Oryzias latipes: one gene and its partners. The protein of the gene in region 1 purifies or fractionates together with the protein of each later gene. This does not show direct contact. Links are inferred from orthologs where the notes say so. Each region holds a gene or a part of one and is shown in the gene's direction. Other genes may lie near its edges. The genes, in order: capzb, cnot9, CCR4-NOT transcription complex subunit 7, cnot11, washc5, mtcl1 and cnot8.

Region 1 (4,107 bases):
AATTGCTACAGCAGTTAAAAAGAAGAATGACAGCAATGTGCAAAAGACTGAAGGGGTGCTCAAAATGTGCAAAAATAGAAAAAGTAGCTACTCTTCATTCTAGAATTATGTTTTTTTCTTCCCATTCCTCAGTTTTATTGTGAATTTCTTTTTCTTCCTAATCTCTGTACCTCTCATACTCTCAATGTGAGGACTATTTAAAAATTTTGCAAGAGAGAAATGTTATTTTGTCTCCATAATTTACGTTCAGGTCTTCCTTTTAGGCACCAGCTGGTCATAAGAAAATTAAACCAACAAAATTAGGAAAAATTTGTAAAATAAAAATTTAGGATTTATTATACAAAAACAAGCATAAAAAATTCCTATAACAACCAGTCTAATGCTGAACCTTATACTGCCCAAATTCTTCGACAGGAATTCATGCACAATTTCAAATGTTTTAACGTATGTTAGCGTCCCCTGGGAAAAAGTACAGTTTATTGTATGAAGTATACTTAAATATAACTAAAGTATGTATAGCTACCATAGACCGGGAAGAGTAGAAACATTTCTTTAGACTAAATTGGAACATCCTAAGTTTGCAATAAATAGATAGTACCTTTATGAAAAGTAAACTTCAAGTATACTGCCTCACTTTTAGCATCGACTTGTAGTACACTTAAATAGATATATTTGTGCTAAAGGGTGGCATGAAGAAAAGAAGGACCTCTTCATTAAAGCTGATTGCAAATGTAAATAACTGTGGAAAACATGTTGCCTTTCTTGAGGCCCTGAACACGACCTAAATTCATTTTAACGTCAGAAAAGCGGAGGACATAAATACTACTCTTGTCTATGTTTAGCTTTTTTTAATATTGAAAACATTTCCTAAATGCTGAGGAAATGCCAAGACTAGTCCAGCCTTTTGTCACAAGTTTATCTACATTGAAGTCTGACTGCAAATTTAAGTCAACTCCTAAGTTTTACAACTCATAATGACAGTTGGACTGTCACAAAATGTACTTTTAAAACAACTAATGGAGACACCAATCATATGCATTTAATTGCACACTCCCACAAATAAAACACAGGAAGATTTGGCAGTGATGTCCTGGAGGTCAAAATAAAGGGAACACATTAAAAACGGTTGCAGTCCCAAAGCTCAAACAGACAAACTGCCAGCATAACTTCCTAATTATCTATTTACAAGAGCAATGCTTTTAACTTCTTCCTATAGACCGATGCTATACTGTCTTTGCAGCAAAGTGTCTTCCGCCCTCTCCGGCTGCATACTTACACCTCCACTCCTCTCTTTCCATACTTGGCAATACCTCTTTTGCTCTGCTGCTATTGGCTGCTGCTGAGACAGCCCGGAGTGACCCGGATGTGCAAAGCGAGGCCTGTTTTCTCGCCGTGGCCTCCTTCCTGTAGCCCGGTTGAGGAAGTAAATTTCGCTGACAGGGCTGGGTTCACTGAGGGAGAGGCGAAGAAAACATCTTCCGCAGGGGACTAAAATACAAATAAAAACCACAAAAAGCGAAAAGGACGAGTTGGTAAATTAAAAGCGAACCTAGCGCGTACCGGCATCTGTGGATCGTGCCCCCCTGCCCCGCTGAGACCGCCGCAGACATGGTGAGTAAGGGCCGCGGCGGAGCTGGTGGGAGAGACGGGGAAGGGTTTTGGAGGGGCTGCGGCTAACTATACGCCTTCAGGTGCTACGACAAGCGAGCAGTGGTAACATGAGAGGAATAAAAATAAAAATCACAGAGGCATCCAACCGTAATGAGGAGAGTAAATAAACTAGGACCGCTGTTCATGGACGGTTTGCCCGTCTCTTCTAGCATGTTTAGGTGTTAGCTAACTGTTACTCGGGCTACCTGCTAGGCTAGGCTTAAAGTTAGCACAGGATGTTTTGGATTTGACACAAGTTTGCTAGCAGCAGTATCCAAGACCCCAAATATAGCAGACATTGAAACTGGTTGATCTAGGAGGCGGCTGTCGCTAAAATAAGACTCGCTGCTCGTATTCCTGACCGTGACGGGCTGACCGACTGCCTCTGCTGCTGCTGCTGCTGCTGCTGGGTTTCCTGCTTGGGGAGTCATGACTTCCTAAAGGAAAGAAGACATTTACCCCAACAAGAAATGCCACAAATCAATGTTGACGTTTGAGTTAAACTAATGTTATTGTTCTCATTTAGGTCAGAAGAGCCAGACATCACTGCCAAACTACCAACAGTTATTTAAAAGATGAATAAAATGCAGCATTAGATGTTCAATTCTACTCAAATATTCATACATTTTTTCTAGATTACCTTCTAAAACCAAATTTGTTTAGACAGTTTTCACTTAAGAGCTTCAAACTGATTTTAGGGAAGATTTTTAAAAAGAAAATTGAATTTGTTCATCAAAATCTACCAGAAAGCTTTTGTCTGAACAAATAAAAGCACATCAGTCCATAGTGAGGATGGAAAGGTGCAGCATAATCAATAGAGGCCAGCCGCCACTTTAAACACTTTAGGTTGTTTTGTAAAAAAAAAAAAAAAAATACAAATGTTCAAAGCATTTGAACTATAATTCATTTATTATAAACATAAGACAAATGTTGTGAATGTCAAAGAATTTGATTAGTTTTACGCCAAAATAAGAATTTGTTCGCATCATGAGTTTCATGTTTCAATACAGGCTAATGATTTTCATTTGGTATTTCTAATAAAATCTAAATAATTATAACACAACTGGGTGAACATTTGTTTGTGTCCTGATATTGTTTGAACTTCCTGAAACCTTTCGAAAGAACAAAAACTAAGGACTTTTCTATCGTCTGTTAGTCCCATAAAGACCTGATAAACAAAAGGTTTGTTGTTACGTTTTAGTTTGAAAGGTTGTCTCACAAAACTGAGTTTGACATGACAAACTGTTCATTCTTATCCGTTGTAATGTCTCCAAACATTTAGCCTCTGCAGGTGTTTTAGACAACTTTCTGTCTTCCCAGCCATTTCTGTCCACTTTGTTTCTAAATTGCGCAGAACCAAAACATAAACCTACCATAATCAAAGTTATTTGACTGTTTAGAATATATTACAGAAGTCTGACTTGAAAGCCGGTTTTTGCTTGGTGACTGTTGGACTTTTCAAATGTCACATGAATCTTTAGTAACTTCCTAACAGTTTTCTGTTTCTGGAGCCGTGGATGTTTCTCTAATATTCATAGTTTGTATGAGGAAGCAGACAGTGACGCAGAAACAATAACTCAGGTGGAGATTAACGATAGAGGAAACCCAGAGTCCAGCTTTGAAGACATATTTGTTTTTGACTTTTTGAAATTTGGTTTTTGTTCAGGTTTTGAGCTCCCATCTCTGTCCTGCGTGGCTGAAAGCAGGAGCAGCAGATGTTGTTTCTCTGGAGTCGCCTTTTCTCTGAGCCTCGGTCATAATCCTGACCGTCCTGCCTTGCTAGTCTCCCATGACCCCGGGGCCTGTTGGCTTGAGCTAGTATTTACACAGAAACGTGCGAGGAACGGAGGTGACTGATGATGCAGATTAAGATCAGCTAAAAGAGGCTTAAAGATGGAGCCAAACAAGTGACTCAGAGGTGGAGAAATTGCTCCCCGGAGACGTTTTTTTCAGACTCTTAAGGAATGATTTATGGAGGGAAAGATTTTCTGCACTCAAACAGGTCGTCGTCGTTCGATCTGATAGCTGATGCAGCACAACATTTGTACAGTTTGTACACATTTGATCCTTTTTAACTCTGGGCAGAAGAATATTCAACAAAAGAAATGAGTAGAAATAGATGTAAAAGACAAACGGTGGAACTAAGAAACCGTTTTTTGTGACACGTTTCTAAATTATTTGTAATAAGATGGGTTATAAAACCTTTTCTAGTTGTCATTTGTCACAGTTAAAACACATTTAGCGTTTCAGTTTTTAGCATCAATCTGATCTGCTGTATCAACACAGACTAGCCTGTGAGGAATGTTTATGTGCAGAGAACTGCATCCACATGTGAGTTATTTATGTCGCCTCATGGCCTCTTCAGTTCACTTAAGTTAAAGTTTTTTTTCCAATTTGAAGAAATACACCTTTTGTGATCTAAACACTGTGTTTAAAAAAAAAAACTGTGGTTAAGTC
Region 2 (4,047 bases), on another chromosome or scaffold:
ATTAACTCTGTTATCCTTTTCCAAAATTTCAAAGGTTCCCTCTTTCCACTTGGTGCCGCCCAGCTCAATGGTGTTAAAGCGAATCTTGACAGTGCTACCACTGGAGAGTTTGGGCACAAAAGTTGACATGGCTTGCTATCCTGATGGTCCACTTGTTAGGTCTGAATTTAAGATGTACAAAAGAAATAAACATGTCAAGAAATAGTCACACGGGTAGCCTATAATGGCAAAAACAACCTCACTTTTATGACTGCTATTGCTATTTAACCAAATAAACAGTTTAAATGAATATTTTTACCATTGCTAAATGCCACATAACAAGAAGTTAGTATTTTTGTAACTAGTTTGCTATATTGTTTTTTTTACAGAACATGCAGCACCGACGTGCCATTCTGAAGATTATAAGTGATTTAATTTGTAGCCAACAATAACATTTGCTAAAAACTTGAAATGTGTTATTCAAAATTATAATAATAAATAAATAAAAGATACAGAAACAAAACTAATATGAGATATGTAGATACGTAGCCAACATGGCAAATGCGGTTTGAAGTAAAGGAAAAAGGTAGGACTTCATAATCCAAAGTGACAAGTTAGCATAACAGTACAATATGAATTACTGCACCACAAAAATCACAAAATATAACAAACTGCATATCCTGAACGGTCATTGAATTTTAGTTTTAAACATGTTTGTGTAGAGCCTGCATTTAAACAACAAACACTGACAACTCCAATGTTGCAGAGGAGAAGCAACACATTTTGAGCTGCGTTGTGATGCTCGTGGCGCGGCCAGAACCATAGATTCAAACGATATAAACAAAAATATCAGTCTATCAACGAACTAGTCGAATAACATGAATCTAATATTAAATGTGAAGCATGCAGTGGCGTTTTTGTTTCTTTAACAGACGCTTAATATGATGGAAGAGGCCCACATTAGCAACACTGGTTCCTAAGCTAGCGGGAGCTAGCTAACACAGTAATTTGGTGATGAAAACAACCACATTCAGTGCCATCGTCATTTCATTACCTGTCTAGGATCACGGTGGTGGTTCCAAACCTATAGAATGTGGACTTGACTTCGCAGATCCTTCGAGAGCATAAAAAAGGTTTTGCCGGCATTCACCTGCTGTTCTGTATGTTTGCTGCAAGTAGAGCAGCACACTACGCCTCACAGCAACGGGCGATGATGGCGGGAATGGGAACATTTACAACGGAAATGATGAACGAGATTGCGCTCCGTTCTCCTCTCGCGATATCTGAGACGTTGTTTGTAGCGAAGTTGTCCCTGCCGAGGAAAAAAAATCAAACGCGAGATTGAAAAAAATGCCAGTGTAAACTTGGTTTATTGATACTATAACGACAATAATTTCTTTTTGTGCTTCTGTAGTTCTCAGTGTTGGGATTTCGATTGAAGTTATGTGAAGTTACGCATGTTGTGGATCCCATTTGTTAGAGCACCTAGCAACTAGCTAAGCTAGCAGTTCGTAAGCATATGTCCATGGTTCTTACGGTGAGATTTCAGGGTCGAGTATTGCGAAGAGGTGCAAACTGACGAACTTTCTATTAAAAGAGTATTTTGAGATCCCGAAAAGCTTTCCAAAATGTTGGCAACGGGAGCGGTGAGTATCAAACTATTGCATCGCTCTCACGGTGACGTTCCCTCCAATTTCGCCTAAGTACATCGAAAATCTTTTTTTTCCTCCCAAATTTCAGCTTTCTTTATTGAATTAATTTTAAAGCAGAACTTCTCTTTGCAGTTTTCAAAGAAAGACTGCATAATATTAATGAAAGCCTCGTACAAATGTAGTACAGTATGGTTTTGGTATACATGTATTGCAGTTGGCAAATCATGAGACGTTTTTGTAGTTAAATTGACAAATAATTTGATTTTGCCCCAATTTGTCATAGCAGACATTTAACAAATTTACACGCTGTCATTTCCTCTTCATGATTTGGGTTTGCAGAAGGGGGAAATTAAACGTAGGTTACATATATCTTAATTAGCGTAATGTTTTTGTTCTTGAGTGTTTCGTTTGTTTGCTTGTTTAAAGAATTGATTGCGAATGGATTGATATTTTCTTCCTATCAAAGGCTGTAACCAACGTCACAGCCCTGGCCCAAGTAGACCGTGAGAAGATTTACCAGTGGATCAATGAGTTGTCCAGTCCAGAGACTAGAGAGAATGCTTTGCTGGAGCTCAGCAAGAAGCGAGAATCCGTGCCAGACTTGGCCCCAATGCTCTGGCATTCATGTGGCACCATTGCTGCCCTGTTGCAGGTATTGGTCCACCTGTTCATTTGACACAGGTCATCCCATTGGGACTGTTTGTGCATCTGTGCCTCTTGTATGGTCTTTATTTTTGTAGTGGTGTTAAACAACTCCTTTTGTTAATTAAATTGTCCTCCTTTTTTTTTTTTTCAGGAAATAGTAAACATCTATCCGTCTATTAACCCACCAACCCTTACAGCCCACCAGTCAAATAGAGTGTGTAATGCCCTGGCACTTTTGCAGTGTGTTGCCTCACATCCAGAGACACGGTAACAAGATAGTTATTGTTACTGAAAAATCAGATTTTTATTTTTTATTTTTAGTAATTCTAATAATTAACTGCTCTTATAATGTTTTAAAGGGGTAACAGACCACAATCTGTTTTATTTATTTGTTTATTATTTGTTTAAAAAGTAACAGTCATCAGTCACTTTTAATACATACATCATACAGAATAGTGGATTTTTCCAGCATTTAGCCTTTGCAGATCTTCAGTTTAAAGCGGTTAAAAGATAATAAATATAGTATTTTCATTTTTATTAAGGCCATGGTCTAAATAAATTGTTTAATATTAAGGTTTTGTTATGTAATTCCTCAATTCACTATAATTTAAAAAAAAAAACGAACTTATTTCCATTTGCAAGGTTTAATGTGTTACATTGATTAATATGATTTTATTTGTTTTGTCCACACCAGGTCAGCATTTCTAGCTGCCCATATTCCTCTTTTCCTTTACCCTTTTCTGCACACTGTGAGTAAAACGCGTCCATTTGAGTACCTGCGACTTACCAGTCTAGGAGTCATAGGTAATTTCTCCTGCTGAGATCATGTTTTTGTTGATTTTACTTTTAATTTAAAAAGTCTTCTCTTTTAGGTATTGCTCTGATAATTCTGTTTATGTCAGATCTTGATTTGTTTGTGTGTTCTTGACAGGTGCATTGGTGAAAACCGATGAACAAGAAGTGATAAACTTCCTTCTTACTACGGAAATCATCCCACTCTGTCTTCGCATCATGGAATCTGGAAGTGAACTCTCCAAGACGGTAATTACCAATGAAATCAAAAGCAGTTTTTATCAAGCAGGAAGAAAAAAATGGATTTTGGAGTCAAACATTCAAAATATGTGTTAACAGATTTGGGTTTTGGTTTTCTAAAACCTACTCTCATGCATTTATCTATGGTATGAATTTAACTCATGTTTCTACCATTGACTATAATTCTTTTTTTTTTATCAGGTTGCTACTTTCATACTGCAAAAGATCCTGCTGGATGACACTGGGTTGGCTTACATATGTCAGACTTATGAACGTTTTTCCCATGTCGCCATGATTCTTGTAAGTATTTTAGGATTTTTGTGTTGTGCACCTATAGCATTGTTGTGATAAAGATGTACAGTCAAGACCATAAATATTTGGACAGAGACACGTTTTTTCTAACGTGTCTCTCAGATCAACTCAGATGCCATTGAAGTGCAGACTTTCAGCCTTGGTTGAACAAAAAGATTGTATAAAAATGTGAAAAACTAAAGCATTTTTTAAACACAATCCCTTCATTTCTTGGGCTCCTAAGTAATTGGACAAATTAAATAACTGAAAACAAAATGGTCATTACTAATATTTGGTGGAAAACCCTTTGTTGGCAATGACAGCCTGAGCTGACCTCTCTTGATGAGAGACTGGCGGTAATAATTGGGGAATCCCTTTTAAGTGGTGTGGTGACTGAGGCGCAGGGGGAACACCGACGCGCCAGATGCACCGGGTGACATACCCCCAA
Region 3 (4,050 bases), on another chromosome or scaffold:
GTTTTTCACGTCCCCCAGCCGGGACTTGAACCGGGGGCCTTCTTGCTGTGAGGCAAGAGCGCTAACCACTGCGCCACCGTGCAGCCTAAATGCAATAATATTTACTAAAAACGATTTTTTTGTAATCTTATATTAGCCACTGATTTTTTTTATTTTAGAAAAAATTACATAGTGGGAGATTGTCCCATTTTGTCTTTGTGTTGCAAATAAATAGAAGATGAGGAAGTGAAGCAACAATATGTTTATAAATAAATTATTTTGTTTTAAAAAGTACACATCCTACCTGAGGATGTGTACAAATCAAGAAAATGTGGGTCATAGTTTCAGGTTTGGCATCACAAAAAGAACCACTGGTGTCATCATTTTTGCAGCTGTGTAAAATACTTCATGCCCGAATTTATTCTCAATGTTGAAAAAACTTCCTTTGTGAATGAAGTGCTGGAGAAAATGAAATGTTATGAATTACTAACTTACGGGATGAGGGGTTAAAGGTCAAAGAAAAAGAAAAAGAATGAAATACAGATAACATAGAAAAAAATTAAACATTACAAAAATTACATAAGGTATGAAAAATTATAAGGGCATTTACACAACATATTGGTTATTGAGGGTTTGTGTTCAACAATAAAAGTTAAAGGTAAAATCTTTTTCACCCTAAATGTCCTCTAGTCCATATTTGTTGAAAATGTTTCCCTTAAAGATGTCAATCATATGCATTCTTTTTTTTCATCTTAGAGTGGTCATAAAATGATCAAAATCAACAAAAATGCGAACGTTGGATTATGATGCGTCTGTGAAAATTGTACTTTTTTATTAAAACAAGTGATTTGAAAAACGAATTTATCTCTGCATCATGTTTTACTTGAATTTAAAATGTGGCCTTTTTGGTTTCATGGCTAACATTTTTATTTGTGTAAAACTTTTTCAGTAATTTACCAAAATAATATAACTTTAGGGGCAAAAAAAAGTTTATTTTACTTTAATATAAATTGAAAAGAAAATATATTTTGTGAAAAAATAAAAAAAATCTGTACAGTATAATTTTTAAAAATAATATATCCTTTGAAAATAATTATATATACACTTTCAACGAGAGCCTGTTCACCTTGAATAAATTAGTAATTAATAAGAAATATATAACGTTTATTTGTACTTTTTAAAATTTATATATTCCTCTTTACAAACATTTATTGGAAAACCTTTTTTCACATTTTACGGATGAGGATCCTGAAACGTCCTTACGTCCTGACGTTTCACTTTACGTAATGACGTCACTGTGTGGGGTCCGCTGTGATGGCAGCCGTAGGTTGACATCAAGCCCCACTGAATATAAAAGTATTTCAAAGTTGGCGGAACACCCCCCTCCCCTCCCTGCTGACAGATATCACAGAACACACGGCCAGCTTTCAGATAGCACACGCTCAAACACGCGCGCGCCCGTTTCGGGGAACGGTGAGTCAACGAAACAAAACCTTTGCAGTCTCCCAAAAAAAAAAAAAAGAAAAGAAGTGACGCCCCGGCGTGTGTGCGCGCGCGCGCACTGCTGCTACTTACTCGTGCCTGTCCTGTTGTACAACCACTCCTGTGTAGTTGATCGAAACTAATGTTTTGTGTGAGAAAACCGCACAGTCGCCACTCCTCTTGTTCGGAAGTTTTACCTCCAACCCGCTAACTGTTAACAGGTAACAAGCTAGCAACAGTGCTGCTTTAAATTACGAGCTAGCAGGCGGCTAAAACACACATGACTTCTACTACTAACTAAGCGGCTCTTTTCATGTGGTTTCGGCTGCTTTGTCTGTGTTTTCATGATGCTCTCATCATCCCCCGCCCCCCATCTCCACGCGTGGTGAAGTGGCACTATGCCCGCAGCCACTGTAGACCACAGCCAAAGAATATGTGAGGTCTGGGCCAGTAACCTGGAAGAGGAGCTCAAGAGAATCCGGCACGTCATCCGAAAGTACAACTACATCGCAATGGTGAGAGATGCTCAGAGACCCCACCCATCCATCCACCTATCCATCCACCCACCTATCCATCCATCCACCCATCCATCCATCCATCCACCCATCCATCCATCCACCTACCCACCTATCCACCCACCCATCCACCCACCCATCCATCCACCTATCCATCCACCTATCCATCCATCCATCCACCTATCCATCCATCCACCTATCCACCCACCCATCCACCCATCCACCCACCCATCCATCCACCCACCCACCCATCCACCCATCCATCCATCCATCCATCCATCTACCCACCCACCCATCCATCCATCCATCCATCCATCCACCTACCCAACCATCGATCCACCCATCCATCCATCCACCCACCCATCCACCCATCCACCCACCCATCCATCCATCCACCCACCCACCCACCCATCCACCCACCCATCCATCCACCCACCCATCCATCCATCCATCCACCCACCCATCCATCCATCCACCTACCCAACCATCGATCCATCCATCCATCCACCCACCCACCCACCCACCCATCCATCCATCCATCCATCTATCCATCCTCCCACCCACCCACTGTCACTGGTGTCCACGGTCCCTCGTTCTTGCCTCTTTCAGGACACAGAGTTTCCAGGAGTTGTAGCCCGACCCATCGGAGAGTTCCGGAGCAATGCCGACTATCAGTACCAGTTGCTGCGCTGCAACGTGGACCTGCTGAAGATCATCCAGCTGGGCCTGACCTTCATGAACGAGCAGGGAGAGTACCCCCCCGGGACGTCAACGTGGCAGTTCAACTTTAAGTTTAGCCTCACGTGAGTCTCTCACTATGTCTAAACAGACTCGTCCGCTTGGATTCCCATGAACGACTTCACAATCTGTAAAAACAATTCAATTCAAAACACATTAAAGTCCTATATGCCTTTGATCTATTTTAAAAGCATTCCCAATCAGATTTAAATTATGGTTATTCCGTATTTTAGCCACACACAAAAAAAAGTTGTCATTTTCCTGGATATAGTTTCTGCAGTTTCTACCCTTTATTCTCCTTCCTTGTTGCTGAGAGCTCTCTGTTTACACAATCTCCCGGTAGCTTACAGCCCCCTCATACCGCCTGACCTGATATTGACCGGTGCAACAAAAAGGGCGAGCCAGCTCAGACGAGGAAGACGAAGGTTAATTTTCTTTATGTATCATCAAAAAAAAAAACCACCACCACATGTTAAGCCCTCCAAAAACACAACTTACATTTTTTTTATCAGAGGGGGTAGGCGCACAAAGGGGATTTAAATTAATCGAAGAGAAAGCATCCTGAATGAAAATAGGAGTTTTTATATTTAAAAAAAAAAAAACAGATCAAAGCTGCCTGAAAAATACAAGTAATTAATGAAAAAAATAGCAATAATGCATGCTCTAAATAGGAAGCACAGGTGTTTTTTTAATTGTTTTTTATTGTTAAACAGATGGGGTTTTTTTTTACTTTTTTTACGTAAGCTTGGGTGGCTTTTTAAAAAAAATTTTAAGTTATGTTTGTTTTGTGAATCATGTAAAACATCTAAAGATTCTTGGAGAAATCCATGGTGGATGTTCTGGGACGGAGGAGGCGGGGCTTACAGGAGAAGCATTTGTCTTTCAGAATAAGAGCGGCGCTTTCATCCCTTCTCACACGATTGGTCCCCCGTGGGTTCAACGATGCTTTTCAAAGTCAAGCGTTATTCTGTCCATCGTTCCCAAATGGAAGAATTTGCACTTTTTCCAGCATCCAGTCAGATCCTAGTCGATCTATTCCTGCCTTAAGTTTTTTTTTGAAGGTTTCCCTCTTTGCTGAGCAAACCTACAAAGTTTAAGTTTTTTAATGGTTATTCTGTGGCGTTTTGTTTGTTGTTTTTTTGGAATGAAAGCGTGAAGCTTAGAAACAGAGATGTGTTTTATTTATTTATTTCATTTATGTATTTATTGTTTTAACCAGAGAGGACATGTACGCGCAGGACTCCATCGAGCTCCTGACCACTTCAGGAATTCAGTTCAAGAAGCACGAGGAAGAAGGCATCGAGACGCTGTTCTTTGCAGAGCTGCTGATGACATC
Region 4 (4,250 bases), on another chromosome or scaffold:
AGGAGACCTGAATATGGTGTTAGATTGTCGACTGGATAGATGGCCACTACAAACTAATAATCCTAATGCTGAACTACTTTAATTTATACAAAGTTTTCATTTAAAAGATCCTTGGAGAGAAGAATCCAAACAAGATCAAGTTTTACATGGAGCAACAAAAGTATCTCCCGGCAGTCACATATTAGCCATATACTGGCTTGTTTTTGATCGTCTAGATACAGATGATATTAATATTAACATTTTTTTTTTAAAGATGGCAGTCAAATTCCCCGAGCCCTAAATCTAGTAAAAGATTTTTCTAATGGCCCTGCACTTCATCTTAACATCAAAAATGTGAAGAACTACCTATCAAATTTGACAAAACACGATCCATATGTAAAATTCCCATCACATACATGTAACACACCTAGGGATTACTATCACCAAAAATTATGGAAACTGTGTGTTGGCTCTCCAGCAGCAGCAGTTGTCTCTCTTGCCGCTCGGGAACTCTCTCCCGACGCCAAAGCCGTTAAAGACATCCCTGTTACACACAACCGTGTTTGCTTCTTAACTCTTAAATAATGGACACAGGAGACATTTCATTCTGAACCTGAAGTGCAGCTCCCCACTCACTTCGTCTTGACTATGATGAGAGGCTGCGCCTTCCTTTTTATTTTCAACTGCACGTAAAAAAAATTGGCGCATGCTTACGTAATAACATAATCAGACAGAGATCGTCTATGGTGACAGACATTGTACTCCAACACTGTGTAACATACCTAGGGATTACCATCACCTAAAACGAACATAAGAGAAGTTCTTCAAATTTCAGTCCCTAGTAAAACGTTTTAACTTATGGGTTTTAATTTAGGTCTCTTACCTGAGCCTAAAAGGCAGAGTACTGCTATCTCTACCTTCTCTTAACTCTCTCTCTCTCCCTCTCCCTCTCTATCTATCTATTTAAATAAAACAAATGTGAACGATTATTTGGTAGGAATAATTCATATACCATTTCCACCTGCTGGACTGGAGAGAAACTGAAGAAAACTACATCACCCAAGATGCAGTTCACCGGAAAATACGACTAAAAAATACTTCAAGCTAATGGCTCGCAGCACTATCCCATTCAGGGTCTTATTTCTTTCTCAGTCCTGGAAATATTATCTTTTGTAACTCTTTGGTTCGATTGATAAGTTATACGTTCATTTAATCTATTTGGATAATTATTTTTAAAAAGATGATTGATGTTTTGACGAGTTTCCCGGTTTTGTAGCTTATTTTTAAGCTAGGCTAACTTGATGCTAACCGCGTTATAGGATCTCAATCGAGATGACTTCTGGGCCACCGTCCTCCACTCTGCGTCTTCAAAGATGAATAAGCGGGTAAGAGCGCCGCTATAGTTATACAGAAAGACTTATCAGGGACCCCGGTCAATCTCTGCATCCGATCGAACTGTGGCGGGGAAACGATGACTCTGGCTCCAAAGGAACTGTCCAACCTGCTGAGCATAATCTCGGATGAGGCCTGCAACAACAGCTTCGAGACCCTCTCCACTCATTTCCATCATTACTTTGGGAAGGCGGACCACTTCAAGGTGGGTTCGGTTCTGGTCATGCTGCTGCAGCAGCCGGACCTGCTGCCCAGCTCTCCGCAGCGGCTCACAGCCCTCTATCTGCTCTGGGAGATGTACCGAACCGAGCCGTTGGCCGCGAACCCGTTCGCCGCCGTGTTCGCGCACCTGCTAAACCCAGCACCTTCCGGGGATGAGCAGGAGAAAGCCCTGTCCGGTAGGGCCGCTTCCTTTCACCTTTAGCCCGACGTCTCATCAGAACCGCAGCCGCTCAGTCTCTGTTTCGTTGGGTCCAGGCTTCCTTCCTCCCATCACGCAGCCGGAGAAGTTCTTCCTGTCCCAGCTGATGCTGGCTCCGCCCAGAGACCTCTTCAAAAAGACCCCCAGACAGGTGTCCTGCATGGACGTGAGCAACATGCCCCCATCTATAGACATCAGCGGGCTGCAGCTTCCTTTAGCAGGTCAGTGAAGGTTGTAAGGAAACATCTCATCACAGGTGAAGACGCCGTCAATCCCAGCCCTCTTTTTGCAGAGCGCCAGTCAGAGCTGCCCACCCAGAGCAAAGCCAGCTTCCCCAGCATCCTCAACGACCCCGATCCAGACTCCTCCAACTCAGGCTTCGACAGCTCTGTGGCCAATCAGATCATTGAGTCTCTGGTCACAGGGCTGCGTCCTCCTCTGGAGAGTAAGTGCTTTTTTTCACACAAGCTGTGATCACATCTGTGGAAGAAAGAAGGAATCTCCTCAGAAAAGATGGTAGCCGTCTCCTCAGCAAAAACTCACGGTTACAGGTTGATCGGCGCCGACCTGATCTGTTGAGTGCGATTGATCTTTAACTGATACTTTAAAAAAAAAAGTGTTTGAGTGACTGTCTAGAAGGTTTTTGCTGAAGTTATGTCATTTTTCAGTAGTTTTATATTAAAGTATTTAGACTTTGTTCAAAGGCCGTCTGTCTGAAGGTGTTGCTATGAGGCATGGTAAGTACCAGTTTCTCAAAACCCTCCCAGGTCATTTTCGACCCGAGTTCATCCGGCCGACGCCTCCGCTCCACACATGCGAAGATGAGCTGGCGTGGCTGAACCCCACCGAGCCGGACCACTGCATCCAGTGGGATCGGTCAATGTGTGTGAAGAACAGCACCGGCGTGGAGATCAAACGCATCATGGCCAAGGCCTTCAAGAGTCCGCTGTCGGCTCAGCAGCAGTCCCAGGTAGGTCTGATGCTGATCAACAACATGTTTGGTTTACACAAAGGCAAAGTCAGGGTTAAAATAAAAACTTTATTTAAAATAGGAACTCCTGTTCTTTGCAAAGAAACAAAAACTTAACTTCAGATCTGCTCTTTTTTCATTTTTAAATCAAGATTTATCAAAACAAAAACACAATTTGTGGGAAAAGTATTTGTTTCTTTTTTAACCTTTGTCTTCCTGGATTAGTTTTCTGGTGGTCTTAAAAAAAATCAACCTTTATTTTTCCCTTCACTCAAAAACTTTATCGTCCGTTCCCTAAAAGACAAATTATTTCTTGTGGAGGCGTTGACTCCTACTGCTGTGCACCGCTGTCACTCCTCTGTATTGACCTCGCCGTGTGTGCAGCTGCTGGCTGAGTTGGAGAAAGACCCAAAGCTGGTGTATCACATCGGCCTGACGCCTGTGAAGCTGCCTGAGCTGGTGGAGAACAACCCACTGGTGGCCATCGAGATGCTGCTAAAACTGATGCAGAGCAGCCAGATCACAGAGTATTTCTCAGTGCTCGTCAACATGGACATGTCGCTGCACTCCATGGAGGTGGTAAACAGGTGGGGGCGGGGCTTTGGCTGTATTCAGACCTGTTAACGAATCTCCAGTTGGGTTCCAGTTTGGTGCTGTTTCTGTAGTTTGGAAGTGATGGAGTTGTTTGCTCTCCTCCGTCAGGTTAACCACAGCTGTGGATCTGCCTCCAGAATTCATCCACCTCTACATCTCCAACTGCATCTCCACGTGTGAGCAGATCAAAGACAAATACATGCAGGTCAACACGCGTTCTTGGAACTGTGAACTGCTGAAGAGAGCTCAAGAGTTTTCCTCTGGAATAAAAACCCGCTTGATTCTTGCAGAACCGCCTGGTCCGGCTGGTGTGCGTCTTCCTGCAGTCGCTGATCCGAAACAAGATCATCAACGTCCAGGACCTGTTCATCGAGGTGCAGGCCTTCTGCATAGAGTTCAGCCGCATCCGTGAAGCGGCCGGCCTCTTCCGCCTTCTGAAGACCCTGGACACTGGGGAGAACCCGGCCGAGGCCAAGCCCATCAAATGAGCAGGAGTCCTGACATCAGAGGGAGCAGGGAGCCGTACAGCTCAGTCATGAGAGGACGTGCTGTAAATATGCAGCTCTGCGGAGGATCTTTGTCACTGACTCATCAATTTTTTCTTTATTAAACCCTCGAGTTTGTATTATTTTCGATGTCATTTCCTGAGTGATCAAATGTTGCATTAAGTCAAAGCTGCAGAAATTCCATAAGCTGCTATCACTTCGGCAGATTTACTGGAGCTCAGTGAAACATTTGAACTCAAAAGTGTTTTACTCCTTATTTTGTCTCCATAAAATTGTTGAGTGTTTGGTTCTTGTGTGCAGAGTTGTATGTTTGCAAAGCGTGACACAAGTTCTGACCGTTTTCTTCTGCTCCCAGTTTTCTAGCTTTTAAAAATGTTGAGGGTAAAGT
Region 5 (3,500 bases), on another chromosome or scaffold:
TCCAGAGGGTTCCCATCAGCACCACTTTCATCAGCATGGTCATTGGGAGGCTGCGCTCAGACGACATCTACAACCAGGTGAGAAATGCTGACTCTATTTGTCCTTTTGCTGACTCTTTGATGTCCGGTTGGGTGTTGACTCTCGCCGTGTTGTTTGTACCCCTCAGGTGTCTGCCTATCCTCTTCCTGAGCATCGCAGCACAGCTCTGGCTAACCAGGCAGCCATGCTGTACGTGTGCCTGTTCTTCTACCCCTCCATCTTGCAGACACAGCAGGCCAAGATGAGGGAGATTGTAGACAAGTATTTCCCTGATAACTGGGTAACGGGAACCGAGTCACTAGATAAAACACGTGTTTTTTTCTTTCTGGAAAAGTGAAGGCTTCATTGTTATCATCCACTCTCCATGTTGTCGGGTGTGTAGGTGATCAGCATCTACATGGGGATCACTGTGAATCTGATAGAGGCCTGGGAACCATACAAAGCTGCTAAGACAGCTCTCAACTACACACTGGACGCTGCTAACATCAAGGAGCAGGTATAACAAATCCTTTAGCCCCTTTCTCAGAGTTTGTAGCGCCTTTTTCAGTATTTGTGCCTTTCTAAAGTTAGTTAAGTGGGAGTGAAGCTTCGTACACACTGGGCATTTGATGCACGTTTATGCACTCGCTATTAGCTCATCCTTGAATGCACGTAAAGCCCATGGTGATCACACTGGACAAGAAGGGAGGATCCTCTTCTTGTTTTTCTTTTTCTCCTGTTTACTAGCGCATGTCCGCCACCTACAGATGGAAGAGGCTTGGTGCGAAATGTCCAAGTGGTGCAAATCTCGCTAATCTTACTCCTGCCTTTGTCTTTCACTGCTCTATTCCGATATATGAAGGACTTGGTGTCATAGATTTTCTGCTGTTTTTAATTTCTCCTTCATGTTTGATTTTCAAACGGTTGGCGCTTCTGTGAATAAACAGGGATGCCATCTATACGCCATTACCAGAACCAAGACCCCGATTGGTCAAAGTTCGACCTGATTTCACTTTCAACTTGAGTTCAGTGGCCCCGCGTTTCGTACGTAGAGCCTGAAAACACTTGTAAAAACTTGAGCGCTTGAGTTTTAAACATAGAAGCCCAAAATGAACATTCATGCGCGATTACACAAACTTTTCATCGGAAGTGGCCGCTTGAATGTGTGTTGCCAAATACAGCTTTACAGGTCCCTGCAAAGCGGCCTCATGCCAAATTAATAAAGATCTTCTTTCTTCTTTCAGGTGTGGCCATTTCTGTTCTCCTAAAATTTGCTCCGGTTAAGGACTCACTCCAATGAAAACTGTGTTTTTGGTGTCTTTAACAAGTTGTTGTTGCATTTTTTTTTTTTACGATAGAGGACATATATAAAGAGAACGAAGCTCAAAATACTATTTCTGAATATTTCTTTATTCAAATCATTGTGAATCAGGAGCAGATGAAAAAATGCTGTTTTAAAAAAGATTGTATTGGTGACGTAGAAAATACGCTGTGTGGCCCATATGCTCCCTGCTCCGCTCCGCAATAGGGAAAAGGGGGGATGAGGTTGCTTTGCACCCACAGTCCTGCCCACAACTCAGAGATGAATGTCTAATGAACTACTGCTGCTCTGCACAAACTATGTAACACAAGTTTATTTGATTTGGGCCAAAAGCGGCATAATCATAATCAAAAGACCGCCGGGAATGATTTTAAAATGGCTTAAAGGATGATCAGAGGGGGTCTTTAAGGATGAACTTTTTCCACATTCCCTCTGTGCAGGCTTCTCGATATGCAGCCAGCATGGAGAGCCTAAGGCCTCAGGTGCAGCAGCTGCTGAAGGAAGGTTTCCTCAGGGAGGAGATCATCTTGGACAACATTCCCAAACTGCTCAACTCTCTGAGAGACTGCAATGTCGCCATTCGCTGGCTGATGCTGCATTCTGCAGAGTCAGGTGTGAATCAAGAGCAGATAGGAGCCAAAAAACAAGAAGATATGTCGGGGGAGAAACAATTTCTTTTTATATTTTAGAAGATTTAAAGTCAAGGAGATGCACTTTCTTATACTTTCTGAGACTTGATCTTTTCCCCCTGATACATTTATGATAAATAATAATTTAGAGAAGTCATTGTTTTTGCCACTAAATCCTGATTTGTGCTTTTCAGCCTACGACCCAAACAACAAGCGCCTTCGTCAGATCAAAGACCAAGTGCTGAACGACTCCAAGTACAATCCAAAGACTCTGTTCCAACTGCTGCTGGACACCGCTCAGTTTGAGTTCACACTTAAGGAGGTGAGATCCGTGGAAATCTCACTATGTGACCAATGGAAGAGACTCTAACTTCCCTTTTTTAAGCTAAAGTGGGGAGCCAATGCTGAAATTGATCAGTCTGGTTCCTGTTAGAGCCGTCTGGCGTCGTAGCCAAATCCCTTACAGTGAGGTAGCATATGGCTCGCCGGATTCTCCGTAGAAAAAGAAGCAAAATTAATGTTCTGACTAATTACACATCTCAGCTGACGAACCCTTTGTCATAAGCATATGTGCCGCCACCCCCCCCCCCCCCCCCTTTCCAGATGTTCAAGCAGATGCTGTCAGAGAAACAGATCAAGTGGGAAAACTACAAAAAAGAGGGATCTGAGAGAATGATGGAGCTGGCCGAAGTCTTCTCTGGCGTCAAACCTCTCACGAGGGTGGAGAAGAACGGTGAGCTACTTTCATGTCTGGACTCAGTGACAGCTCCGCATTAGTTGAATCCCTGAAGCCCCAAGCCACACATGGATCCTGATGGTCCTTATTTCTGTGTTTTACATTCCTTTGCCATTCTTTGCAGAGAACCTGCAGGCGTGGTTTCGGGAAATCTCAAAGCAGATTGAGTCTTTGAACTACGAAGACTCCACGGCTGCTGGGAGGAAGACTGTTCAGCTGATACAGGCTCTCATTGAGGTGAGAGAGATGAGCACATCAGTGTGTTAGTCCTATCTTATCTACTTGGTCTCATGTAGAACTAATAAGTCAAAGCAATGCTTCCAAACATATCCCAGTTGGAGTTCTGCTCCTGTAATGTTCCGTGAACTTGGTCTTTTGAAGAGCTTTCGTGCAGTAATCTAAACGATAATAGAAAGAACCATCATCAGAAGGTTTCCCTCTTCTGAATTCAGGTCCAGGAATTCCACCAGCTGGAGTCCAACTTGCAGGTGTGCCAGTTTTTGGCAGACACCAGAAAGTTCCTCCACCACATGATCCGCACCATCAACATCAAAGAGGAAGTCCTCATCACCATGCAGATCGTTGGAGACCTGTCCTACGCGTGGCAGATCATTGACAGGTGGGTCAGTCTGCTGCATCTGATGAGTTTAGAATGCGGCCTGATGGAGAAGGAGAGGAAAGTGTACACGTCTTAAAGGAGTTTTTGTTTTTTCATTCACTTCAGACAGTCTGTGTTTTTGTGTCATCAAAAGAAAGCAGTGACTCTTTCCTGTATGTTTCATCAGAAGTTCCTCCT
Region 6 (3,500 bases), on another chromosome or scaffold:
CTTCATCTCAGACTCTACAGGCCTCATGCTGTGTGGAACCAGAAAATGTCATTTGGATCTGGAAAGAATACTTCTGGTCATCGTAAGACATTGTTGGAGGTTGTTCTTTGGGTTCCTTTTGTTTTGGACAAAGCTTCTGCTGCGTTAATCTGGCCTTTACAGAGGAAGCAAACGAAAATCTGCTTTCAGGCAGTCTGTAGTCACTGGTTTGAACCCCCAAGCTGCTGGCATAGAGAAAAACAAAAGCATTTCCTGCTCAGCCTGATTGAACCGTCATATGTTTTTACCTCTTTAAAGTCAGGAGACCCGGATTTCTGCCACCAGCAATGCAGAGAAAAACTGCTTCCAGTCAGACGCCGCAAAGACACAGTCCCTCTTGATGCGTCCTGTATCTTATAGAAGAAAAACTCTCATCTCTAAACCAATTAGGAGGCTTGAACTATAGACGGCAGATTATCTTTTCAACTCTCCGGCTTTTAATCCACGAGGCTCTTACATGCTTGAGTCCTTCAGCAGAGCAGAGTTCAGCGAGGGCTGCAGAGGGAACTAATGTGCTTAGTTTTGTCTGATAAGGCCATGTGGAGCCCTCTTCTTGCTCCACTCTGCTTCCCTCTGGTTATGCGCTCAGAAATGGGCTTCAGGAAGCCCATCAGAGCAGAGGACGTCTCTCCCAGCTCAGCATTTTTCTGCGTCTGGTGTTGGGTGGTTCAGCCTCACAGCCGCTGCTCATTCTTTTTAAAACCTGCTGGTGAAATGAACCTTTGTTTCCTTAAATGAAGGCATGCGTAGAAAAAGAATGGCTTGTTTGACAATGCATTTGAAATTTGGCTTAGACAACATTGAAATGACTGACAGTAGACCTGCTGCTACATTAAACAGGTTTGTAGTGGAAGACGTTTTTGTAAAACGCTTTCAAAATTTCATGGAAACATTTCCTGCTGGAGAATTTGGTCGTTTAATCAGGTTATTTGACTAGAAACTGAACAAATGTTCAAAATCATCAGCACCTCAGAGTCTAATAACATTTCTTTGGAGAACGACATGAACAAACTTGTAAAAGTGACCTTCTTGAGTTGGAAGTTGCTGCTGCTGATTTGACTTTGCCTTCATCTACAAACATGATAAATGAACAGACTCAGAGTGTCCTCTGTCATTTTTCACTGCAGTGACTCCTCTGTGTCTGTTGTTTGAGCAGCTGGAGGAGGAGGCCCGGGGCGAGGCGCAGGGGGGGGAGGTCGATCCGGAGCCCGAGCGGGCCTTGAAGCAGGAGCGCGAGGAGCATCGGCGCATTCTGGCCGAGAGCCACAGCACATCCCTGGACCTCCGCTGGAAGCTGCAGCACGGAGAGAAGAGGTGGAGCCGCGAGAGGACAGAGCTCCTGGAGCGCTTCAGCCGAGAGCGGCAGGAGTGGGAGAGCAGCATGAGGGAGCTGCACCGCAAGATGGAGAGGGTGAGAGAGGGCGGAGTTTCCGAAAAACAAGGAACATTCATCTTCTCATCATCTAACGGTGTTTCCTCGGGAAACTGTCCTGCATTTTTTTTAATCCCACCCTGCTACAACACGCCTGCCTCTGATGACTTGATGAATTGTCCGGCTTCTGCAGAGCCCGATGATGAATCAGGTGTGCATAGGCGGGGCAACATGGAAACCATGCAGGACGGTGTTTCCCGAAGACCAGGGTTGGGTAACACTGATCCAACAGCTTGTTTCAGTTTGTCGTCAATTCTGGAACTTTGGGTTTTGTTTCAGTGAAACTAATTTATAGAGGACTTATTCACGTTCCAAACAGAAAGGAATGTGAGGCTTCATTTACTCTGATGTAAAGGGTTTGAATGCAAATTGAAGCTTAATTTTCTTGATATATGTCGTCTATCATCAGAAAAATGCCACAAGAGTATGTTAGAAACACCCAAAACAGGATTTTCAGAGCAGCGCAGTAAAATGATGCTCTAAATTCAAGGCCGAGTCAGAAATAGTTCATGTATTTATTCAGATCAAATCTTCTGTAATGTTTTTGCTGCATAAACCTCAGCAGAAGGAAGAGAAAAAAGAAGGAAAAATTCCCAACTCCAAATTGAATCTGTTTCATTTTTAGCAGAGTACAGTAAAAACATCACTGTATTTGACTGCAACCATGCTCCTCATCTGTGCCTGATGGACAGGAAGCAGCCCCCCCAACCCCACCTCAACCACCATTACACAATACAGGTGTGAGGCTTTTGTTCACCCTTGTGCTATCTTAGATGACCCCCCCCTTACATTGACATGTTCTCCCTACCATGACAAAGGTGGATAAAGGTGGATAGATTTCATGTAATCCATGGACACCAGTGAAGATCACAAATCACTGAAGAAAAAAGATTCAGAGCACTGTCTAGTGGGTCTAGATGACCCAACTCCCAATGTTGAAGTGCCTAGGATAGCACAAGGGTCAAACACGAAGCAGAACAAACTTCTGATTTGTCACAGAGCACAGCCATCAGTGCAGAGGCAGGGATGCAGAGTTCAGCATTTAACTGCAGAAAACAATCAAGCAGACGACGCTCGGCTCAGAAACACTGAAAACGTTAGAACTGTGGTCTGGAGCAGGATGCTTACAGTGAATTATCTATAGTATTCTGGAAACTTTTGGGGAACTAAAAGGACTGATTGTTTGTTGAACATGAGATTTAACACAGAACCTGTTTCCGGTCCAGTTTAGAGGGCTGAAAGCTACAGAGAAGTTCATCGGATCTGCACTAAAACTGGATCCACTTTTGTTGACAAAAAAAAGTTTAGTGTTTATATATTTTAATAAAATCTATATTCCTGGCACAAGCGGCAAGATTAATGTCGATTTTACGGATGGTTTAAACTCTCAAAGAAAAAAGGAAAAACTGAATTTTCTCATTTCAGAGCCAATGGGTTGATGTCCCTCAGGGAAAAACGCAAACTTAGAGAAATGCTGTGTTCAAGTGGTGTTGGAAAGATCAGAAATATGACTGTCCAACTCGGAAAACATACATGAAAATTTTCAGAATCACTTTCTGCACCTAAACAATGTTTTTTTTGTGCCCTGTCTATGGAGAGACACCAGAATTACAGGGGAAATAATAAGGATCACCGATATAATTTATTCCAGATTAAACGGGCCGCATGTGGCCCCTGGCCTTAGTTTGCCCTCTCCTGGTGTAGTGGTTAGCACCTTTGCGTCACAGTGAGAAAGCCATGCTTCAAATCCATCCTGGGACCTTTCTGTGTGGAATCTGCATGTCTCTCTCGTGCATGTGTGGGTTTTCTCCAGTCTGACATGTTCAGGTTGTACCCCACCGTCACCCAACTGCATATGGGATAGGCTCGAGCAGCCCTGTGACCTCAGAAACGGATTCAATGGATTCTGAAGGATGGATGGATGGAATCTCTTAAAAACAGTTAATCTGTTTTCATTAAGACATTAACACTCTGTGAAAGTAATAGGGTTTCTGATTGAAGGGCGGACAAATTCGTGTTAAAGCTTCAG
Region 7 (3,952 bases), on another chromosome or scaffold:
TTGTAACCTCCACCAAGGCTTAGTGCTACATGGAGGGGTGGGGTCCCGTGGGAGGATGGGTTCTGCCCCCAGGCGGTAGCAGACAGAAGTCATTTTACTACTAATCAATAAAGAAGCTTCTGCAGTCACTTTGCGTTGACGAAGCAGAAGCAGCTTCACCTGCAAGGTGGCCTTCAAAGCCACACCCTCTTTTTAATAATTTTCCTTATTTTTAATCCCCTGCTGTTGTTTTACTTTATTATGAAGTTGTTCTTCTGTGTTTTTCCCTTAAAGCTGCAGCTGTTTCTGTGCTAAACATGATGTTTCTGTGGAGGACTGAAACTCACTTCATTCAATTGTGTAAAAATGTAAAATAAAAGGGTTCGGATGGACCGATTTGAACGCTGTTTTTCATTAGTTTCCTGTGACTTTTTGTCAAATCTTTTCCTTTCATGGTCATTGGTATCACATGGTCTACAGAGGGAACTACAGAGGGAGCAGCATGTGCAGCAGCTGCTCTTTCACCATTTTTTACCTCATCTAGGTTTCCGCGTCGCTCAGCAGATGCGTGTTTGGGGAAAGAAATACACATTCGTTTATACATTAAAAATACAGTTTCACATGAAAATACCTGTAAAACACAAGGAGTAATGAATGTTTCAATGAAATGTTGATATTCAAACAAAAACATGATATACCTACATGTCTCATGCTGTCTTTCATATGTTAAACTAAATTCATATTTACATTTTAATTATATGTGTATTGGAACCGTTACAAAGGTTATCATGGTTGAGTCCTGCACAATATAACCATCATATAGTTTGATAAATAATGTTTATTCTAATGTGTTCTCTGCTTGGCATTTTAGTTACATATTTGGGTTTATTGTTTTCAGTTTACAAACTTTTTTTTAAATAGTGTTTTTTTTTGTATTTCTGACATTTTTATTATGATTATTCCTATAATTTATTAAAAAGGTACAATGAATGACCCATTTACTGCATGGATGAGGGCCTTTAGGAAAAAATTTGTGTTGAAGTAGTTAATATGAATTTGACATATGAATATATTTAAGTAACAAAAAAATGTAAAGATAAGTCATACATTTTTATTTAATGGATGGATGTCAACAAATGAAGTAGCGTTGTGGAGCTTCCGCTCCGGACCGGCAGGGGGCAGTGTGCACGTTTATAGTCCACTCCAAACCGGAAGTGAGACGGTAGGAAATGAAGGAAGCAGACGACAGCGTTGTGTCGAGGGAATTTTAAGGTAAACCGGTTACCTAATTAAACGACTACATTTTTTTTCCCGGGCAGCTTCAGTCAGATTAAACACTTTAACAGGGCCACGTCATTTATTTATTCTTCAATGCTGCGTCATCTCTGCAACTTGACCGCGCGCGAATATTAACGTCTATGCTAACTGTTAGCATCGATCACGGTTTGTTTTCATTTTCTTTTCTGCTTAAGAACAATTTTAAAGTATATTTGTTTTATTTATAGTGTTAGAATGATTGAAAATATCGGTTTTATATTTGTATTTCGGCTGAAGTTAAATTAGTAAAGCCAGTTCCGCACTACAGTCAGTACGGAGTCGGCTGTCATGGCAACAACAGCGTTTTTTTAATGCTGTTCTTTGTTGTTTCTATTTTTATTGTTAGTTTTTGCTCGTTTTGAGAGCCTCCATACAGCGTGTACTTTCATTATATATAAAGATCTATGTGGAAACGCGTCAGGTAGACTGTAAAAATCCCAGTTACAGACTACAGAAACGTCATTTTACCATGTAACTTTCAGTGCTGCTGTTGAACTGATTTTTTTTTTAAACCAAATATATGGTGACACCCAAGACTACTTGGTGGATTATTACATACAGAAAGCAGTTAGTCTTCAATCTATCAATAGCATTTTGAATCAAATTGATGCTGTGAAACAGGGAAACAATTGTTAAGGGGTCAAAGCAGGACAGAGTAAAGACACGGTTTGACCCTGCATTTGACCTTAGATCAGTAAATGATGCCATCATGACTGGGTAACTTTTGAATAAATTAAGTAGACTCTTATTAGATGCTCAGCTTCCAAAGATTCCCTATTTTTATGTTGTATACTTGTGATGATTTGACGGCATTACTCTGAGATTTAAGTACGTTTTTTCTAAATCTCCTTTCGCAGTTCTTTTTTTGTTGCACGGTCCCCCTTCCCACCCCCCCTTGAAGCCCTGCAGGACCGTCGGGTCTCCTAGGAACCTGCCAACATGCCAGCTGCTCTTCAAGATTCCAGCCAGATGATCTGTGAAGTCTGGGCGAGCAACGTGGGGGAAGAGATGAGGAAGATACGGCAAATTATCCAAAGCTACAACTACGTTGCCATGGTTACAGGCTCTCCTTTCTTTGTTGACAGTTGAATTCTAAAAAGAAAAACAAAGAACGTAAATGTGGTGATTGCAAATGTGTGCTAGTCTCTTCCTTTCCTGGAGTGTCCTAACCCTGCATTTCTGTGTCTTAGGACACGGAGTTTCCCGGAGTCGTGGTCCGACCCATAGGCGAGTTTCGCAGTACGGTAGATTACCAGTACCAGCTGCTGCGGTGCAACGTGGATCTGCTGAAGATCATCCAGCTTGGTCTCACATTCATGAACGAGGATGGGGATTACCCCCCCGGCACGACCACGTGGCAATTCAACTTCAAGTTCAACCTGACGTAGGTGCTTCGTCGTCTCATGGGACTGAAAACGTTCGCTGCTTCCTGTCAACCTGCTGGCAGCCTAAGCCACTTATGTGCTATGATGACAACAGTCTTTAAAAATAATAAAAAACATAAACAGAGACGCCTGTAAATTAAACTCCAGTACGTAAGCCTTAAACAGGCTGTGAAAGATGCAATGAGCCACTTCTCCACTAGGAGACAGTATTTCACACAGAAGTTTGTGCCTCAGCTGTTCTACTGTGGTGTTAAACTGCATGAACTTTTTACTTTTTTTTTTTTATTAGATGTATTTTAATAATTAAAAAAAGGTTGATTTACATTTTTGTTTACTCCTTTTCATAAATCTCTGAAAAGTGAAAGGTTCACAGGTTTTCTAGTGAAATAAGATGATCAAGTCCTGAAATGATCCTTGATGTTCTCTAACGTTGTGTGCAGTGAGGATATGTACTCCCAGGACTCCATAGACCTGCTCCAGAACTCGGGTCTGCAGTTCAAAAAACACGAAGAAGAAGGAATCGACACGCTGTACTTCGCCGAGCTCCTCATGACGTCGGGTCTGGTTCTGTGTGAGAACGTCAAGTGGCTGTCCTTCCACAGGTCGGTTGTCTGCTGGCTTGTTCCATGAACGGGGGTGGGAGGGGGTCTTCTGTTTGATCTTTCAGAAATCATAAAATATAATTAAAATCACTTTAACCCAGTAGAACCCACGGTGACGTCAGTGTAACAGAAAATATCAGAAATGGATTCTTTGGTCCATTTGGTTTGTGGTTAAAATATGCACTTTATTTTAAACAACAAATGGGTCTGGGTACTTATGGGTTAACACCAGAATAGAGATCCAGATAAAACAATGTAAGCAGGTCAAAAACATCTCTTTTACTCTGAACTTAATCCTTGTCAGAGGAAAAACTTCTCTGGGATCTTCAGGGAGAAATTTCAGAGATTAGCTGCATGGAGCTGAATTCTGAGCTCCAGTTAAAGTTCTGCCTCTGGTTCATTCCAAATATGATCTCTGATGCTAAAGCATGAAGAGACTTGAACAGAAGCAGAACTATTTGAAAGGCTGTTGTGTGACCTCGGGACTGATGGTCAAAATCAGAAGCGGAGCAGCAGCGTTCTGGATGAACTGCTGCTTCTTTTCTGGGTCCAGACGTTACAGCAGTCTGACCTGCTGGAGACAAACTCCACAATAAACTGGTATCTTAGTCCTCTTTGGTTCTGCTGATGTTTCTTAGACGATATAATGTAGATGACGTTCAAGATTAT

What was found.
Region 2: the proteins of capzb (region 1) and cnot9 purify together in Homo sapiens (co-immunoprecipitation; 3 studies listed by BioGRID and IntAct, with this or other methods). This does not show direct contact. The link is inferred for Oryzias latipes from reciprocal best matches to the Homo sapiens genes CAPZB and CNOT9.
Region 3: the proteins of capzb (region 1) and CCR4-NOT transcription complex subunit 7 purify together in Homo sapiens (co-immunoprecipitation; 3 studies listed by BioGRID and IntAct, with this or other methods). This does not show direct contact. The link is inferred for Oryzias latipes from reciprocal best matches to the Homo sapiens genes CAPZB and CNOT7.
Region 4: the proteins of capzb (region 1) and cnot11 purify together in Homo sapiens (co-immunoprecipitation; 3 studies listed by BioGRID and IntAct, with this or other methods). This does not show direct contact. The link is inferred for Oryzias latipes from reciprocal best matches to the Homo sapiens genes CAPZB and CNOT11.
Region 5: the proteins of capzb (region 1) and washc5 purify together in Homo sapiens (co-immunoprecipitation; 4 studies listed by BioGRID and IntAct, counting the BioPlex papers as one, with this or other methods). This does not show direct contact. The link is inferred for Oryzias latipes from reciprocal best matches to the Homo sapiens genes CAPZB and WASHC5.
Region 6: the proteins of capzb (region 1) and mtcl1 purify together in Homo sapiens (co-immunoprecipitation; 3 studies listed by BioGRID and IntAct, with this or other methods). This does not show direct contact. The link is inferred for Oryzias latipes from reciprocal best matches to the Homo sapiens genes CAPZB and MTCL1.
Region 7: the proteins of capzb (region 1) and cnot8 purify together in Homo sapiens (co-immunoprecipitation; 3 studies listed by BioGRID and IntAct, with this or other methods). This does not show direct contact. The link is inferred for Oryzias latipes from reciprocal best matches to the Homo sapiens genes CAPZB and CNOT8.

What each region holds. Positions count from the first base shown.
Region 1 is NC_019863.2:2,090,747-2,094,853, forward strand, and holds the start of capzb (F-actin-capping protein subunit beta), read left to right. Parts: upstream 1-1,307; 5' UTR 1,308-1,608; coding exon 1,609-1,611; intron 1,612-4,107. UniProt on the Homo sapiens protein: F-actin-capping proteins bind in a Ca(2+)-independent manner to the fast growing ends of actin filaments (barbed end) thereby blocking the exchange of subunits at these ends.
Region 2 is NC_019879.2:16,425,501-16,429,547, reverse strand, and holds the start of cnot9 (CCR4-NOT transcription complex subunit 9), read left to right. Parts: upstream 1-1,247; 5' UTR 1,248-1,607; coding exon 1,608-1,625; intron 1,626-2,097; coding exon 2,098-2,283; intron 2,284-2,427; coding exon 2,428-2,543; intron 2,544-2,970; coding exon 2,971-3,080; intron 3,081-3,207; coding exon 3,208-3,317; intron 3,318-3,509; coding exon 3,510-3,608; intron 3,609-4,047. Other genes in the region: usp37 (ubiquitin carboxyl-terminal hydrolase 37), read right to left, coding at 1-129. UniProt on the Homo sapiens protein: Component of the CCR4-NOT complex which is one of the major cellular mRNA deadenylases and is linked to various cellular processes including bulk mRNA degradation, miRNA-mediated repression, translational repression during translational initiation and general transcription regulation.
Region 3 is NC_019868.2:26,784,432-26,788,481, reverse strand, and holds the start of CCR4-NOT transcription complex subunit 7, read left to right. Parts: upstream 1-1,250; 5' UTR 1,251-1,452; exon of another isoform or gene 1,453-1,682; intron 1,683-1,852; 5' UTR 1,853-1,859; coding exon 1,860-1,976; intron 1,977-2,585; coding exon 2,586-2,779; intron 2,780-3,933; coding exon 3,934-4,050. UniProt on the Homo sapiens protein: Has 3'-5' poly(A) exoribonuclease activity for synthetic poly(A) RNA substrate. Its function seems to be partially redundant with that of CNOT8.
Region 4 is NC_019879.2:14,490,662-14,494,911, forward strand, and holds cnot11 (CCR4-NOT transcription complex subunit 11), read left to right. Parts: upstream 1-1,450; coding exon 1,451-1,769; intron 1,770-1,848; coding exon 1,849-2,013; intron 2,014-2,084; coding exon 2,085-2,237; intron 2,238-2,559; coding exon 2,560-2,762; intron 2,763-3,146; coding exon 3,147-3,349; intron 3,350-3,464; coding exon 3,465-3,561; intron 3,562-3,646; coding exon 3,647-3,844; 3' UTR 3,845-4,151; downstream 4,152-4,250. UniProt on the Homo sapiens protein: Component of the CCR4-NOT complex which is one of the major cellular mRNA deadenylases and is linked to various cellular processes including bulk mRNA degradation, miRNA-mediated repression, translational repression during translational initiation and general transcription regulation.
Region 5 is NC_019874.2:13,940,617-13,944,116, forward strand, and holds part of washc5 (WASH complex subunit 5), read left to right. Parts: coding exon 1-77; intron 78-166; coding exon 167-319; intron 320-421; coding exon 422-535; intron 536-1,779; coding exon 1,780-1,951; intron 1,952-2,162; coding exon 2,163-2,290; intron 2,291-2,571; coding exon 2,572-2,701; intron 2,702-2,828; coding exon 2,829-2,941; intron 2,942-3,156; coding exon 3,157-3,323; intron 3,324-3,500. UniProt on the Homo sapiens protein: Acts as a component of the WASH core complex that functions as a nucleation-promoting factor (NPF) at the surface of endosomes, where it recruits and activates the Arp2/3 complex to induce actin polymerization, playing a key role in the fission of tubules that serve as transport intermediates during endosome sorting.
Region 6 is NC_019875.2:4,684,046-4,687,545, forward strand, and holds part of mtcl1 (microtubule cross-linking factor 1), read left to right. Parts: intron 1-1,195; coding exon 1,196-1,450; intron 1,451-3,500. UniProt on the Homo sapiens protein: Microtubule-associated factor involved in the late phase of epithelial polarization and microtubule dynamics regulation.
Region 7 is NC_019872.2:29,379,670-29,383,621, forward strand, and holds the start of cnot8 (CCR4-NOT transcription complex subunit 8), read left to right. Parts: upstream 1-1,152; 5' UTR 1,153-1,251; exon of another isoform or gene 1,252-1,422; intron 1,423-2,153; 5' UTR 2,154-2,235; coding exon 2,236-2,352; intron 2,353-2,486; coding exon 2,487-2,680; intron 2,681-3,121; coding exon 3,122-3,283; intron 3,284-3,952. UniProt on the Homo sapiens protein: Has 3'-5' poly(A) exoribonuclease activity for synthetic poly(A) RNA substrate. Its function seems to be partially redundant with that of CNOT7.